2 linked regions of the Nothobranchius furzeri genome follow. The protein of the gene in region 1 binds, or shares a complex with, the protein of each later gene. Links are inferred from orthologs where the notes say so. Each region holds a gene or a part of one and is shown on either strand. Other genes may lie near its edges. The genes, in order: ribosome quality control complex subunit NEMF and tcf25.

Evidence for each region.
Region 2: ribosome quality control complex subunit NEMF (region 1) and tcf25 share a complex: the UniProt entries of both Homo sapiens proteins name them as parts of the ribosome quality control complex. The link is inferred for Nothobranchius furzeri from reciprocal best matches to the Homo sapiens genes NEMF and TCF25.

Annotation. Positions count from the first base shown.
Region 1 is NC_091758.1:27,045,521-27,054,029, reverse strand, and holds the start of ribosome quality control complex subunit NEMF, read left to right. Parts: upstream 1-2,767; 5' UTR 2,768-2,899; coding exon 2,900-2,958; intron 2,959-3,050; coding exon 3,051-3,119; coding exon of another isoform or gene 3,120-3,132; intron 3,133-3,549; coding exon 3,550-3,652; intron 3,653-3,780; coding exon 3,781-3,906; intron 3,907-4,003; coding exon 4,004-4,152; intron 4,153-4,258; coding exon 4,259-4,326; intron 4,327-5,082; coding exon 5,083-5,172; intron 5,173-5,261; coding exon 5,262-5,335; intron 5,336-5,413; coding exon 5,414-5,484; intron 5,485-5,929; coding exon 5,930-6,005; intron 6,006-6,087; coding exon 6,088-6,228; intron 6,229-6,306; coding exon 6,307-6,515; intron 6,516-6,588; coding exon 6,589-6,762; intron 6,763-6,842; coding exon 6,843-6,906; intron 6,907-6,988; coding exon 6,989-7,077; intron 7,078-7,176; coding exon 7,177-7,280; intron 7,281-7,876; coding exon 7,877-7,939; intron 7,940-8,017; coding exon 8,018-8,130; intron 8,131-8,210; coding exon 8,211-8,268; and 1 more. Other genes in the region: MAPK/MAK/MRK overlapping kinase, read right to left, coding at 1-179, 264-391, 462-532, 609-698, 962-1,076, 2,413-2,578. UniProt on the Homo sapiens protein: Key component of the ribosome quality control complex (RQC), a ribosome-associated complex that mediates the extraction of incompletely synthesized nascent chains from stalled ribosomes as well as their ubiquitin-mediated proteasomal degradation.
Region 2 is NC_091749.1:57,575,846-57,583,914, reverse strand, and holds part of tcf25 (ribosome quality control complex subunit TCF25), read left to right. Parts: intron 1-708; coding exon 709-814; intron 815-895; coding exon 896-1,055; intron 1,056-1,141; coding exon 1,142-1,229; intron 1,230-1,445; coding exon 1,446-1,604; intron 1,605-1,691; coding exon 1,692-1,782; intron 1,783-3,223; coding exon 3,224-3,303; intron 3,304-3,414; coding exon 3,415-3,490; intron 3,491-8,069. UniProt on the Homo sapiens protein: Component of the ribosome quality control complex (RQC), a ribosome-associated complex that mediates ubiquitination and extraction of incompletely synthesized nascent chains for proteasomal degradation.

The sequences.
Region 1 (8,509 bases):
CTCATGATTTCAAAAAAGACACAACCGGCGCTCCAGATGTCCATCTTCAGGCTGTAGTATCCGTCTGTGAGGAGGCACTCCGGGGCTCTGTACCATCGTGTGGAAATGTACTCTGTGTGTGGTGGCTTGGAGTACACGCTGCGACAGGAGCCAAAATCACCCAGCTTCAGAATGTTGTGCTGTAACATCAGAAAGGTTCGTGTTGAGCATTTGAACGTCCTCACACGGCTCAGAAAGCAGAGTTCAGCACTGATCTGTCTCACTTTTATGAGAATGTTTTCAGGTTTCACGTCTCTGTGGAAGATCCCACAGCTGTGCATGTGTTCCAGCGCTTTTAACAGTTGGTACATGTAGTTTTTGACTGTCTGGTCATGCAGGGGTGTTTGTCTTCCTGCAAACATCATTACATGCTGTTTTTAACCCAAAACATAAACAACATCTTCAAGTTTCACTTTTCTCACCTTGAATGTGCTCATAGATGTTCATCTCCATCAGCTCGCATATTAAAGACACTGTTCCGCTTTCTTTGTCACTGAAACATTGTTGGGTTATTAAAATACAAACAAGTTTAAGATGTCAGAATGCATGAGAAACAATGCAGTGCTCACAAAATCAGGTCATGGAGTTGGATGATGTTTGCATGAGGACTCAGTCGTCTCATCGCCTGGACCTCACGCAGGTTGTTGGCCTGTTCCAGACTAGAAGAACAAAATGGGATTGTGCTTAGTCATATTTGCTTCACACAAGTTACAGCAGAATGAGAAAACTGAAAGGTGTGCTATTCCACAATAAATGGTTGCAAAGTTTTAACACACATTGTTAACAACAAAAGACAAACTTTTAGTTCATCAGACAAATTGTAACAAAGCAAGTTTTACATTTAATATACTTCAAGTCAATATATGACAGAGAATTATTGGAAATGAATAGGAAATGGCACCACAATGTGGGACAAACATACCTGTTAATTCTCTGTTTCATAGTTTTGCATGCATAAAACTTCCCATCCTTCAGGCTCTGGGTCTTCAGCACCTCTGAAAACGTACCCTCTCCAATTTTCTTAATTACTTTGTAACCTGCAACAACAAAAACACAATGGAATAATTAATGATAATTGCATCAGCAGCTGGGGCTGCGCGGTGGCGCAGTGGTTAGAGCTGTTGCCTTGCAGCAAGAAGGTTCCTGGGTTCACTTCCCGGCCTGGGATCCTTCTGCATGGAGTTTGCACGTTCTCCCTGTGCATGCGTGGGTTCTCTCCTGGTACTCTGGCTTCCTCCCACAGTCCAAAAACATGACTGTTAGGTTGATTGGTCTGTCTAAGTTGTCCCTAGGTGTGAATGTGTGTGTGCATGATTGTTTGTCCTGTGTGTCTCTGTGTTGCCCTGTGATGGACTGGCAACCTGTCCAGGGTGTACCCCACCTGATTGCCCATTGACCGCTGGAGATAGGCACCAGACCCCCCCCCCCCCCCCGCGGACAAGCGGGTTCAGAAGATGGATGGATGGATGCATCAGCAGCTCACAACACATTCATTAAATGTAATCAATAATAATAATAAATAAATATGTGAGAAACGTTTTTGCTTCAGAAACTGCAAACTCCTATCTGGACATTAGGATTTTGTTTTGTTTTTAAATAAAGATTTGGGGTCATTTTAAAATTTCTAAACAGCTATCAAAAATAATAATAAAAAACTCCTATTTTTGTTCTAGCTACTAGATGTTTGGTTTGAACGTCTAATACTTCTTTATTTTTTTAAGTTACTTTTCTGATTTTACCTGTCAGATTTTATTTTAATGTTTTCATTTTACAGGAAAGACAGATTAGGTAAATTGTGTATCTAATTTATCTTACTTTCAGCAATTTCACCACAAGCAAAGGTAATTTTTTTTAACAATGATTCCAGTGATATTTTCATCTATTTTATTGTGTAGGTGTGTGTATGGTTGTTCCTCTGATGAGCCCCAGAGGTTAAAACAATAGCTGCTAGCAAGCACACATGTAGAGAAACCCTCTATAAAACCTTTTTTCCTCACTTACTTTTCATTCTTTTAGGATTTTGCCGCCGCATTTTGGTTGATTATCACGACCAAAGGTATCTTTGTGGTACATGCTAATTATAAGCTAGAAAATGAAACATTTCCACGCAACGAGGGCACAGAAGTCCCTCTTGTTGGTGCTAGCCTAGCCCCAGCTGACCGTCGCCTTGGTAACGGTGCACGCCTTCGCCCTCCACTCTGACCTGAGGAGGAACTCAGACTGAACCAACCTCAGCCTGGCCCTTCGATTAAAAAAATATCAGAATATAAACATATAATAAGCCCCAATTTTTTGACAACGACCAGTCAAGCCGATTTATTCAACAATCAGGCCCCGAAAAAAAGACAAAAAAAAAAAAAACTCCATCCTTACCTTTTTTCCAGAGGTGCGCCGTTTTCTCTTTTGGCTGCGGGTTTTTGTTCTGCATTCCCGCAGCATTTCCCCTATTATTCCAGTCTGTGCTAGAGCTCGTTTTGCTTGCATTTCTTAAGCTTGCTCTATTCTTAACGTCAATAAGCCAGTTTGAGTAGTGCAGCATTGGTGCACATTAATTGTGAAAGAGCTGACCATGCGTTTAATGGCTTAAAAAAGGCAATTCTCGCAGGAGAGAAACAGCAGATTCTCTACATTCATAATATTACGGTTCCGTTACCAGACACAAGAGCATCTCAAAGCGGCTGCCAGTCTATGCAAAAGGCGTGGACCTTCTCTATTTTGACCCCAACCGGCTTCCGTAAGAAAGCAGAACGTGTGCACTTTCAGTGTTGCTGAATGTATTAATTTTCTTGTTGCTCTTGGGATGTGAAGTATACACGAAGGGGTTGTTTTTAAATCACCATTATTCTGGATTTGATTCACCATGAAAACCCGATTCACCACGGTGGATATCCGGGCAGTTATTGCCGAAATCAATGCCAAGTATGTGTTGTTAGGCTAAGCTAGCATTAGCCCACTAAATGTTACTGTCTATTTTTATTCACATTCATTTATTTCACCTCCTCATTTCACAGTTACATTGGCATGAGGGTAAACAACGTGTATGACATCGACACTAAGACGTATCTCATCCGTCTGCAGAAGTAAGAACATAAGGTTCTGAGTGCTACTATTTATGCTAGCTTAAGTCATAAAGCTCTTGCTAATAGAAACATACATGCGTAATATTAGAAGCATAAAGATTTAAGTGATTCAATGATTACTGCTAGAATAGATCACTGTTTTGACGTATACATGTAAATAAATCACTTTGTTAATAAAGTTAGATCTTGAATTTATCGGTTTTAAACGGGGAATAATGGGAGTTTTTTTTTTAGCTGGAAACAACAAAACTACACAGAAATGTTACTGTTAGTTGTCACATATACAGAAGATTCTGTAACGTGTATGATGAAAAGTAAAGTATGTGAATGAAGTCTGTCTTCTCCCAGACTAGGATGAATAATAATAATAATTATTATTATTTTACACAGACCTTCACTTGTATGTGTTACAGTTGTGTTTCTGTTTCAGACCGGACAGCAAAGCTGTTCTCCTGATTGAGTCTGGCACTCGCATCCACTCCACAGACTTTGAATGGCCCAAGAACATGATGCCTTCAGGCTTTGCTATGAAAGTAAGAAGATCCATGTAATTGTTAAAGATCGTGATGTTTTTTCATTATTATACCCTGCTTCAAAAATGCTGATTGCTCTGTGAATATTTATATGTTTTGATAGCACTTAACTTGATTTTTATCCACAGTGCAGAAAACATCTAAAGACCCGCCGGCTTACCCAGGTTAAGCAGCTTGGGATCGACAGAATCGTGGACATCCAGTTTGGTTCGGATGAGGCTGCCTACCACTTGATCATTGAACTTTACGACAGGGTCAGAAAACATCATCCAATGCATTTGGAACTGTTCCAGGTCACATTTATCCTGATTAATACACATTTATGTTTTGTTTCCTCATCTTTACTTTCAGGGTAACATCATCCTTGCAGATCACGAGTACACAATCCTGAATCTGTTGAGGTTCCGAACCGCAGAAGCAGAAGATGTTAAGATTGCCGTGAGGGAGAGGTACCCAGTGGAGAGCGCCAGACCACCGGAGCCCCTCATCAGTCTTGAGAAGTAAACCATTTATTTGATATAGATAGAGAGGACATACATCAGTGTTCAGTTAGCCTTTATTACATTAGTCTGCAGCACAAACATAGTGTTATTGTTCTCTTTAAAGACTCACTGACATCCTGAGCAAAGCACCAAATGGAGAGCAAGTGAAACGAGTCCTGAACCCTCATCTGCGTAAGTCGCTGGACACACAAACACTGTGATTGTTTATTTGAACAGATAATATTGTAGATTTTAGAAATCTTCATTCCTGTAAAAACAGAGAGATTATTTATTGTAGGTCATTCTTCAATCACAGCCATTTTCACTGGACTGGGAAGCTCTTAAAGCATTAATCCATGATGTGCAATCCTGATGGATAAGAGAGAGGGAGAGTCCAGTTATAACGGGAAGTTACGGAAACTGCTCTAAAGTTACTAAAATGTATGATTCACATCATGTAAGTTAGTCTCGGGTTTGGAAAAAAATAGTCTGGATCTTAATTTTTACTAAGTTTTCTCAGCTTAGACATGCAACGTTTTATAAATGAGATCAGATATTACACTTTGCAACAGAAAAATCTGATCCTAGCGGTAAAACATGGCTGCTCGAGTGTGTTTGGGAACCAAAGCCACAGAGATTTTACTGTTTCTTAGGACAAAACATGCATCAAACTGTGTTTTCAGAGAGAAGTCATGGCAGCAAATACAGACAAGATCACAGAATTGTTTCAAAATATCATTAAATAAGATTGATCTAAATTCACAAGTCTGGTTCAAAGAAATTGTTCTAAATTCCTCCTCGTTTTTAACTCCAAATAAAAAGCCTGTTTCTTGTCCAAATAAGCATTTTCTTATTAATTCTTAACACGTTGCTTCAAGAAAGCCTAATGATGATTTTCAGTTTATTTATTCATTTTTTAATCATTAAACTTCTCATAAACCCGTTCAGCTTACGGAGCCACTCTGATCGAACACAGTCTTATAGAAGCAGGACTGCCGGGTTCGCTCAAAGTCGACAGCCAAGCTGATGTTGCTGAAGGTAAAATATGGACGTCGATTTTATTATTATTAATATTTTATTCTTTTAACATGAATGCACTAACAGGACCTTTGTTTTTTTCTCCTCAGTTGCCTGTGAAATCCTGAAAGCCTTGCAGATGGCAGAAACCTACATGGAAATAACGGAAAGATTCAGCGGCAAAGTCAGTAAAACATCTTTTATAAGTATTGAAGTAAACTGTAATTTTTTTTACTATACTTTAAATGTTATTTATTTTAAGGGTTACATCATCCAGAAGAGTGAGAAGAAACCAAGTTTGACTCCGGGCAAACCCGGTGAAGATCTCCTGACGTACGTCTCGTTAAAGGCATACTATGCAAATTCATATTCTTGAGCCAGTATGTACTAAAATGATGCTTTACAAGGTTAATGAAATGTCACCCAGACCCCGCCGCCCTCTGTGTCCAGAATATCGCACTTGCAACTTGAGAGTGGCGCTGCAGTCTGCTTCCAGCGCGTTTCCTGCATGTTTTAGATCATGAACACAGCGGATTTGTTTAATTTAGTGATGAATCACTCCTGTAGACACTGATGAAGGCTGAGGAGACATTTCAGCTGTTAGATTAGGGTGTTAAAAAGACAAACGCAACAGCAAAGAGATAAGCTTCACTTTTGCTTTCATTAACAGAACACTAGAGGGTGCTAAAAACTGCCTGGTATCCCTGGGCAAAGGACAATCCTCCAGCTGATTGTTCCTAACGAGGTTATTAATTTTCTCGTTAATGTCTTCCTGCAGATACGATGAATTCCACCCGTTTCTCTTCTCTCAGCATGCAAAGAGCCCCTATATGGAGTTTGAAAACTTTAACAAGGTGAATATTAGCACAGCTGTTGCTTATGCATCTAAAGAAAACCTGTTGGCAAGAATAATGGTTTAAAAATATTTTTAAACAGGCAGTGGATGAGTTCTTTTCAAAGATGGAGAGCCAGAAGATTGACATGAAGGCCTTGCAGCAGGAGAAACATGCACTGAAGAAGCTGGAGAATGTTAAGAGGGACCACGAGCAGAGGCTGGAGGCGTTGCACCAATCACAGGTCGGCAGCAAGCAGATTTTCATTTCAGATTCACCTGATCTGTTGCAGAATTAAAAGCTTTATTCTCTGTGTTTGCAGGAGGTGGACAGAATAAAAGGGGAGCTGGTGGAGATGAATCTGCCTGTGGTGGAGAGGGCTCTGCAGGTGGTGTGCAGCGCGTTAGCCAACCAGGTGGACTGGACTGAAATCGGCACTATTGTTAAGGAAGCACAAGCTGCTGGGGACCCCGTGGCCTGCGTCATCAAGGAGCTGAAGCTGCAGACCAACCACATCACCATGCTTTTAACGTGAGATCACCGTCCAGGTGATAAACCTGCCGGAGAATCCCGGTGGTAATAATCGACGCCGCTCTGTGTGCAGAAATCCATACATTTCTGAGGAGGACCACGAAGAGGAAGAGAAAAAAGGTTCCATCGATGAGAAAGGGAAGAAAAACAAGACTAAAGAGAAAGGGCAGAGCAGGAAGCTGCAGAGGAACAAGCCCATGTTGGTGGATTTGGATCTGGGCTTGTCAGCTTATGCCAACGCTAAAAAGTGGGTTTGCATTTAAAGTTTTAGATGCACAAACACATAGAAAGCCTACAGATGACAGTCTGTCGTCGTGTTGCTTTTAGGTACTATGACCACAAACGCACTGCAGAAAAAAAGGAACAGAAAACCATTGAGGCAGCAGACAAGGTGGACAAGCTATTTTACTTTATGTATAACAAATAATTTGTCATGCATTGATTTAGAATTAATGTTTTATTTTTCATCTAAGGCTATGAAATCAGCTGAGAAAAAAACACATCAGACACTGAAGGAGGTCCAGACCGTCACCACTATTCAGAAAGCCAGAAAGGTGTACTGGTAAGGCCCTCGCCAAAGGATCCTGAGTCCGTTCCAAGTTTAATTGAAGCGTTTGTGGCTCCAGACTGTCTGCGGTCATCTTGTCCTCCCGTCTGACAGGTTTGAGAAGTTCCTGTGGTTCATCAGCTCCGAGAACTATCTCGTCATCGCAGGAAGGGATCAGCAGCAGAACGAGATGATTGTTAAACGCTACCTCCGGGCAGGTGGGGAAACTGTCCCTCTAAAGGACTCATATAATACATGTTCTTTTTGAAATCTGATTACTCAGTCTGAGTTACATATACACGCTGAATGTGAAAAATCTCGTCTGCTGCCATCATCTGCATTAGCAGAAATGAGGTAGATGGGAAAACGGTCACATCAGAAAAAGCCGCTCTCCTCTACGTCACAAGAAAAGTTAGCATTCACGGCCTCGCCCAGCTTGGCCTGGGACCGCTGAAGGCTGTTGTTGTTGATTTGGCGACCAGGAAGGAACGGAGCACATCTCGGCTAGTGGAAGCTAACTGTTAGCATTAGCAACCCTACAACACGGAGGAACACGTTCAGGCTTGTGTTATGTGTTTTGAGATAAAGCATCAGCAGACGAAGGCAGTGGAAGGGTTGTGTTGCTGTTAGCCAATCAGAGGCCAGATGTTCACATATCATGAAAAATAATGAGAAAGATGCGTTAACTTGTTTCACTTTGTTTGTTTCAAGCCGCTCTTAAAAGTAAAGTAGCAGAATCAGAAATTGTTTTTGGTAAAAGAAGTTCAGCGTGAATCAGAAGAAGCGAATCATCGATCACTTTCGATCTTGTCAGGTGACCTTTATGTTCACGCTGACCTCCATGGAGCAACTAGTTGTGTCATCAAAAACCCTTCAGGTAAACATAAGCTTCTTTTGCTATATTGTGTTTTATTTCTATATTTTTATATTCAAATCTCTTTTGTCTTCGTCCCAGGCGACCCCATCCCCCCTCGGACCCTGACAGAAGCTGGCACCATGGCTGTGTGTTACAGCGCTGCGTGGGATGCCAAGATCATCACCAGTGCTTGGTGGGTCCATCATCATCAGGTTGGTCACCTGTGAAAGCAGACGTGGAGTTTAATATCTGGCTCTGAGCAGTGGGAATTTCAGCTTTTGTTCGTTTCCAGGTGTCTAAAACGGCTCCAACTGGAGAGTATCTAACCACCGGAAGTTTCATGATCAGAGGTTTGTCGCAAAAAATAAAAATTATGTACGTCCTTCCTTCCTTCCTTCCTTCCTTCCTTCCTTCCTTTCCTCATTCCTTCCTTTCTTTCTTTCTTTCTTTCTTTCTTTCTTTCTTTCTTTCTTTCTTTCTTTCTTCCTTCCTTCCTTCCTTCCTCTCTTTCTTTCTTTCTTTCTTTCTTTCTTTCTTTCTTTCTTTCTTTCTTTCTTTCTTTCTTTCTTTCTTTCAATAAAAAAGCTTAAT
Region 2 (8,069 bases), on another chromosome or scaffold:
GTTTAAAGGAGTGGTTCACTCATTTGATAATACACTTGCAGTGATTTCTTATAGGAATGAATGCCTTGTAAAGCCTAATTTATACATCTTCCATCAGCTCCACAAGGGAGAGACACTCCTGCACTGATAGACATTTTACCTTCGGACTTCTCCATCTCCTGAGGAGTGTTGCAAAGCAATTCCCCGCCAGGACAACAGGGCATAGCACTGTTCTGTGGTACCCTGTCATGTGTCCGGTCCAAGATAGTGTGTTTATTATTGTGTTTATATTGTGTTTTTTGTGTTTTAAGAGCCTTTTTAACACATACAATGTTGTCCCTCCTCCTCCACCACCTCTTCATGCACTCGCCACCTCTAAACCCACCTTTCCCATCGTTTCCGTCCACGAATAAAACGCTTGCTGTGTATCTTTTCACTCCTCAAGTCACGGGTGAATAAAACGTTAATATATTTAGAGTTTTTTCACGAGGTATTCTTCAAGCTTCTCTGCGTCTGCTGCTAGATATCTTCAGCTTTCTTTGTCTTTGAGGTGGCAGTGGTGTCCTGACCAATCACAAGCTTGCGTTATCCGTCTCGTTGGACGTATATTTATATATATATATACTCTTACTTTCTTTGTGTGTGTGTGTGTGTGTGCGTGTGTGCGTGTGTGTGTGTGTGTGTGTGTGTGTGTGTGTGTGTGTGTGTGTGTGTGTGTGTGTGAGACAGTTTGGATCCAGACTTGGACCCCCTTTGCATGCTCCTCCTGGTTGATTTCCTAATGCTGCGCTCCAGAGAGTACAAGTCTCTCCTTCAGTTATATCAGGACTGGGAGGTAAGCCATGCAGCAGTTAATGTCCCGTTTCACTGTTACCCCTCTAATCTGACGCAGAAATGATTTCTTGTCACTTTTCAGGAGCACAGAAATCTCTCTCAGCTGCCGAACTTTGCGTTCTCCTGTGCACTTTGTCGTTTCCACCTCAGCCAGCAGGAGGATTTGGATCCTAAAGAAGCTGAAAATCAGAAAAAACTAGCTGACCAGATGCTCCAGAGTGCTCTTATTATGTTCCCTGGAGGTTAGACCTGACCCTCAGTGGTTAGTTGTTTCTTTACAGGTATTTTAATTCTGGACCTTATTCATCTTTTAATGTGCTTCCTTCAGTCTTGATGCCTTTACTGGATCTGTGCACGGTGCAGCCAGATGCCACCGTCACCTCCCACTGCTTCTTTGGCCCAAAGAGTCAGATAGGGTGAGCCTCCTTTTCCTCAACTGTTAATATGTTCAGCACACTGTAATTTTGCTTTTTACACTGCATAACCATAACAAATCTAATATAAAACAACAGATAATAATTTCATGACTTATTTTAGTAGTTTTAGATTTGTTTCACTTTTTTTGTTGTTTCGTAATGTTTTCTCTGTCTGCACCGGTGTAAAGTTCACCCCCTCCCCCCGTTTGTCTCCAGGCAGCCGCCGGCTCTGGCTGAACTGACAGCGCTGTACGTAGGGAGAACGTACGCTCTGTGGAAGGAGGCAGCCATAATGCTCTGGTTAGAGGAGTCTGTCAAGGAGGTGCTGCGTAGAGTTGACTCCAAAGACTCCTTTGTGGAAGAATGCGAAAACAAGTATAATCTCCACTTTATACACCTTTGCTGTAACTAGAACTTCTCCACATAGAGCGACGACTCTCAAGGTCCATTCCTTTGTTGCAGGAGAAAACAGAGGTACCAGAGCGCACCGAGAAACATCCATCGCCACGTCCTCCTCTCTGAGATCAAAGAGGCCACCTCCACCCTGCCCCTTGTAAGACATCACCAGCACATGCTCTGTTTTTGTGCTGTTATGGTATTTTTGAAAATAGGTGGAAATTAATATTTTGATTTCACAGATCGGTCACATCTTATTTATTGACTTACCCCAAAATTCCACTATCTCCGCTCGCTCCGGCACGAACTCCGCAGCAAAAACGGTCCCGTTGTAGTCAATCAGTGCTGTTCCACTACTGCGGCCGTGTGGCGCAATGCGCCGCCTGCCGTTCCTCCATCCGGCAAAAATAGGATCGATTCTATCTGATCACAACCGCCCAACAGGAAAGGGAGCAAGCAAGTACAGCTTCCGCTATTTCACAATAAATCGATAACAAAAAGCGTTTTTTTGTTTCATATGCACAGGTTTAACAACTTTTAACAACTATCAATGGCGGTTGAACTTTAAATGCACAAAAATAAGCCATAAATACAGTTTCCACTATCAAAATAGTCACACTTTGTTGATCCAAACACTGCTGATCTCTCAACACAAATGATGGGCAGATTAAACAGTTCATTTCGATGCTTCTCCCACACAACGGGTGTTTGGATCTGACTTCCGCATTTATTGCTCGGACTGTATCACAAGATCTCGAAAATCCCGCGCATGCCTGTTTGCGCACCTCAGGTCTCCGCACCGGAGCGGAGCCGTTGTAGAGCGGGTACAGTATAATTTGAGTTCGGAAGCGAGCGGCAGCGGAAAGCGGGGGCGGAGCGGAGATAGTGGAATTTTGGGGTAACACTTTGCTTGATTAGCTTATTAAAATAGAGTTCTTTGATTAATTAAAAGAAAAGAGTCTATTCTTCATTCTTCTGTTGAGCTCAAAAGAAGCGGATTAGAAGCCAATGCATGAGACCTTGAGACCATATCTCATGCAGACTAGTCCTGTGTCAGAGGAGGGGGAAAACAGTCATTTCATTCTGTTACACTTATAATTTGTGACGTGCAGAATACTAGTAAACAACAACAAAGATAACAAGGTACCGGGGGGGGGTGTTAAATGTGAGCAATTCTGAAAGATAGGCAGTCAGCTTGTAAAGGGGTGTGACAACAAAAGGCAAAATCTTAAACCAAACCCAGTAAAAAGCACAGGAGCGATATGGGTGTCTGTGTTTGTCAGAAAATGTGCTGCCCCGTTGTGAGCTCTTTGAAGATGGTCTAGCAGAAACATGTTTACACCTCAGAAGTGAGATTACTTAGTCAAGTCTGAATGTAATGGTTTTATCAAAGAACACAATCATAGCAGATTCCAAATGAGATCTTTAGGGAATGTGTTAAGCCGAGTTATGCAGATCTTCTCTTTTTGCACTTTTCAAAGATGTTTTCTTTATTAATTATTTATTCATTTTATTATTTTTGTCAAATTAACTCATATTTACTAGTCAAGATGCCTCGTTTGCAAGTGATGTCAAATGTTTGGTTGTATCTCTTTCAGGACGTGACCGCTCAGCCTGTGATGGGGTTTGATCTCCTTCCTCCTCTGGACTCGGTGATCTCATACACCAGACCAGAGAGGTAATGGGAATACCAATAAAATCCACTTTTTACAGCACTAACATGCCTTTTAATTGTCTGCTTTTAAAGTACTTTGAAAACAGTTTCTCTGTGTTTTTATGTCTTATCCAGGCAGCATGTTGGAGCATCCAATGAAAGCACACTGTCACTGTTTTTCCGTTCTTTACTTCCGAACTTCAACCTTCAGGTGAGTTGAGAAAATTAGATTAGTGTGGGTTCGCAATGTAACAGGTTTGCTGATTGTGGTTTAAGTGAATCAAAGAAAAAAATACACATTTAAATAAAAACAACCTAAAAGTGAGTTCAAACCATTGGTTAAAACCAGTAAACGGGTTACGTTTGGACTCTTCCATGCTGTTGTATTTGAAGATGGCCGCATAGACATTGAATAACTGAAAGCACTAATTAAGAACCCATGCCGTGCATGTGAAGACTCCATGTGATCAGCAGCTGTAAGCCCTACAGACACAAGCCGTTTGTTTAGTAACAAATTTTGTTACATCGTGCCGAGTTTGATCACTGCATTCAGAATGAACTTACTGCTCTAAGGGATTTTAAGCGATTCAGTCCTAAAACCTCCATTTGGTGCTGAGATTTCCTGCAACTTGAGGGTTTTACTGTACATTTCCTGAAGCGTTTGACTCAAAGGAGAGGCTTAGCTTCCTGATCTGACCTCAGATTGCCGAGCAGGACCTACACCTATACAAGACTAATCAGAACACGTGCTTCTTAGTTTTCTGATTAATTGGTTTATGTGCATCATTGAGTTTTGTTTATGCATATGTGCAGCAGAGCAGACCATCCTCTTCATCATGTGTGCAGCTCAGTGGTCTCTTAATTTCTTATTTAAAGTTTACCTCCAAAAAAGTGTTCAGTCACTGCACCCTGCGGGGCCTTTTGGCAGCATCTGAGAAAATCCCTTAACAAACATGTCCTTGACTGATGGAACATTTCCTCCGAAGGGCTCATGCTTTCCCTCGAGGGACAACAACTTAAAAGTATCCAAGGAGGCATATAAAGTTTTTAGCCTTGTTTTTAATGGGTCATCTTGTAGGAATCAAGTCGGTGGGTTTATTTTACACATAAAAATTGGAAGGAAAATTATTGAATGTGGAGTTTTAGCAGATTTTTTAATGTAGAAATAATAAAGAAAATAACCGTTTTCTCAGTTTTTCCCCTTTAAAACCCGATGGTTTTGCTCTTAATCCTCGTCGACTAAAACAGTGACATCAAGAGAAAATCTAACAGGTGATAATGATAACTGTACACATCTTTCTGTGGATCAACCTGTATTTAAAGATTAATTTAGTCTAATATCATTTGAAAACAAGTAATTTTGATTCGATGGAGGAAAAAATGGATTCAGATATATAGTTTGAACCCGGATGGGTTCAATCAGTTTGACTGAAGCAAAAACGTCATTTCTCCTCTCAGCTAAGTCATAAGCTGTTTTTAGTCATGTTTAGACACATTTAGTTCAGAATACTGGACAAAACAGTACAGCTTCAATCTGACAACAGAAACCATCAACTGGTAGAGCTGTGTGTTGTTTAACCCTCCCACTGTCCTAATGGGTGTGACCCCGCGAGGAAAGTTTACCATTGAGGTGGTGCTCCTCACCCCTGCCACATGTCACCCCTGCCACATGTCACCCCTGCCACGTGGACCTCAAGGGATAAACCATCAACCCTGCTCAATGGTCAACTTTCCTCATGGGGTCACACCCATTAGGACAGTGGGAGGGTTAAACGTTTGTACTTTTAGAAATAGACGGATATTGAAAACATTTATTGGCTGTACTATATCAAAACTATCTGGATGAAAATGTTGTGGTTAGTGTGTGTTGGAGGCTTTTAAACAGGCTTCCAATGAAGACAGTTGTTAACTGTGGTGCACAAACAGTTGATTTACACCGTGGACTTTTCTGTTTTTTATCTACAGTTAACTGTAATTTTATTTCAACCACAGAGACAGTTTTTTCATTTTTATTATCCGACCATAATTTGATCATAAATGCTGCTGTTAAGTCTGAAACCTAAATTGTTTAACTGTCTGAAATTCTTAGTTTAAATTTCTTGTTTACTGAGAAATACGATCTGTCCCTCAGAGTTACACAAGTACAGTGGGATGCGAAGGTTTGGGCAGCCTTGTTAATCTTCATGATTTTCTTTTATAAATTGTTGGTTGTTAAATATTGTTGCTGTTAAATATGTCATATAGGAGAAACACACACAGTGATATTTGAGAAGTGAAACAAAGTTTATAGGATTAACAGAAATTGTGCAATAATTGTTGAAACAAAATTAGACAGGTGCATAAAAAAGAAATTAACTCAGCATTTAGTTGATCCATCTGTTGCAGGAATAACAGCCTCTAAGCACTTCCTGTAGCTTCCAATGAGAGTCTGGACTCTGGTTGAAAGTATTTTGGACCATACTTCTCTACAAAACATCCTTAGTTCATTCAGGTTTGATGGCTTCACAGATTTTCAATAATATTCAGTTCTGGGGACTGAGATGGCCATTCCAGAGCGTTGTACTTGTTCCCCTTCATGAATGCCTCATCAGATTCTGAGCAGTGTTTAGGGTTGTTGTCTTGTTGAAAGATCCCGCCCCGGTGCAGCTTCAGCTTTGGCTCTGATTCCTGGACATTGGTCTCCAGAATCTGCTGATATTGAGTGGAATCCATGCGTCTCTCAACTTTAACAAGATTCCCAGGCCCTGCACTGGCCGCATAGCCCCACAGCATGATGAAACCACCGCCATGTTTTACTGTAGGTAGCAGGTGTTTTTTTTCCTGGAATGCTGTGTTCTTGTTCCTCCATGCATAACACTCCTTGTTCTGCCCAAATAACTCAGTTTTAGTTTCATCAGTCCGCAGCACCTTATTCCAACGTAAAGCTGGCTTGCACAAATGTGCTTCAGCATACCTCAAGCAGCTTTGTTGGCGCTGTGGGTGGAGAAAAGGCTTCCGCTGTATCACTCTCGCATACAGCATCTTCTTGTGTAAAGTGCACTGAGTAGTTGAACAATGCACAGTGGCTCCATCTGCAGCAAGATGATGTTGTAGGTGATTGGTGCTGGTCTGTGGGTTGACTCTGGCTGTTCTCACCATTCTTCACTTCTGTTTATCTGAGATTTTTCTTGGTCTGCCACTTGGAGCCTTAACTTGAACTGAGCCTGTGGTCTTCCATTTCCTCAGTATGTTCCAAACTGGAACAGACAGCTGAAATCTCTGAGACAGCTTTCTGTAACCTTGCCTTAAACCATGTTTGTGAACAATCTTTGTTTTCAGCTCATGTGAGAGTTGTTTTGAGACCCCCATGCTACTCTAGAGAATATTCAGAGAGGAGGGAAACTTACAATTGGCCGATTGTGCTATACATTTTCTTTGTAACAACCAACGATTTACACAATAGAACATAAAGGCTGCCCTAACTTTTGCGTCCTACTGTATGCTGAATGTGAACATTTATTTTCAACCCCCGTGGCCCGCTTTAACTGCAGAAAGAAAATAGATGAAAAACAATCGATTCAGAAAGTCACAGGGATAATTGGCATTCATGGCCTCACCCACCTTGGTTTGCAACTGCGTCTGAGCTAGTAGAAGCTAACCGTTGGCAACTTCATGGCAGAAGATGTTCTGGCTGATGTAATTCGTGGAGATAACATTTCAGCATTGAATTTAATAAACAAAAAAAAAGGCGAACAAGAGCAGAAGAAAAGTCACGTTACTGCTCGCCAATCAGAAGCAAGCGAGTATTAATGAATAAGACTATCTCTTGCATTAGCTTCTGATAGAAAATGGACGGTGAAGCTCTAGGATTTGAAAAGCCTGACAGATCTACGTCACATCGTCGCTTAACATTCATGGACTCACCCATCTTGACTTGGGACGGGGAAGACTGTTGGTTAAGCATCAGCCCGGTGACTGATCTCTTGTTTCAAGCGGTTCGAATTCCAACCAAAAATGGACATCATTTGCACAGAAATAAGAGGAACTATTTTGTCACAGTGAAGTTAGATGTACGTTGGATATTCGTCAGAGGTTCACCACGGTCAGTGATGGGTTTTGATGCTGTGCCAGAGACGACAGTCAGCTGTGTTCCGAGGACTCGTTCATGAAAGCGGTGGTTTACTTAAAGACCATCAACAAATTTCTAGTCATTTGAAAATGGATTTAAAAAAAATGAAAACTTTCAGCTTCATAGATTGAATGACTAAATCAATTGCCAATAGTGTTACTAGGCTAGACCAACGAGACACAACAGTTTTTAACATATTTCATACAATCTAATCTGTTTTATTAAGATTTTGATAAACAATTAAATGATCTTATTAGTGATGCACCGATAATGACATTTTTGGGCTGATACCTGATATTAATATCACTGTTATGGCTGATAACCGATATTTGCCAATGCTGATATATTGACATTGATGCTTCTAAAATCTGAAGATTTTGTATAGAATGAATACTATTAATGCTGAATTTACATTATTATGACAATCACTGTCACATGACCAAACTAGTACACATCACCACCCTTACCCTATGACACAGAAAGGGAGGGGGGGAGGATACAATGTTAATATCGGCCCAGTTGTCTTTATCGGATTGATACCGATATGTTAAAATGGAATATCTTTGGCTGATATTGATGCTAATTTTTATCAACATCTTCTAAGTAAATTTAAATACTCAAAACCAAATACCAATGGTGTTAGAAACTAGACCAGTGAGACATAACTGTTTTTATCATATTT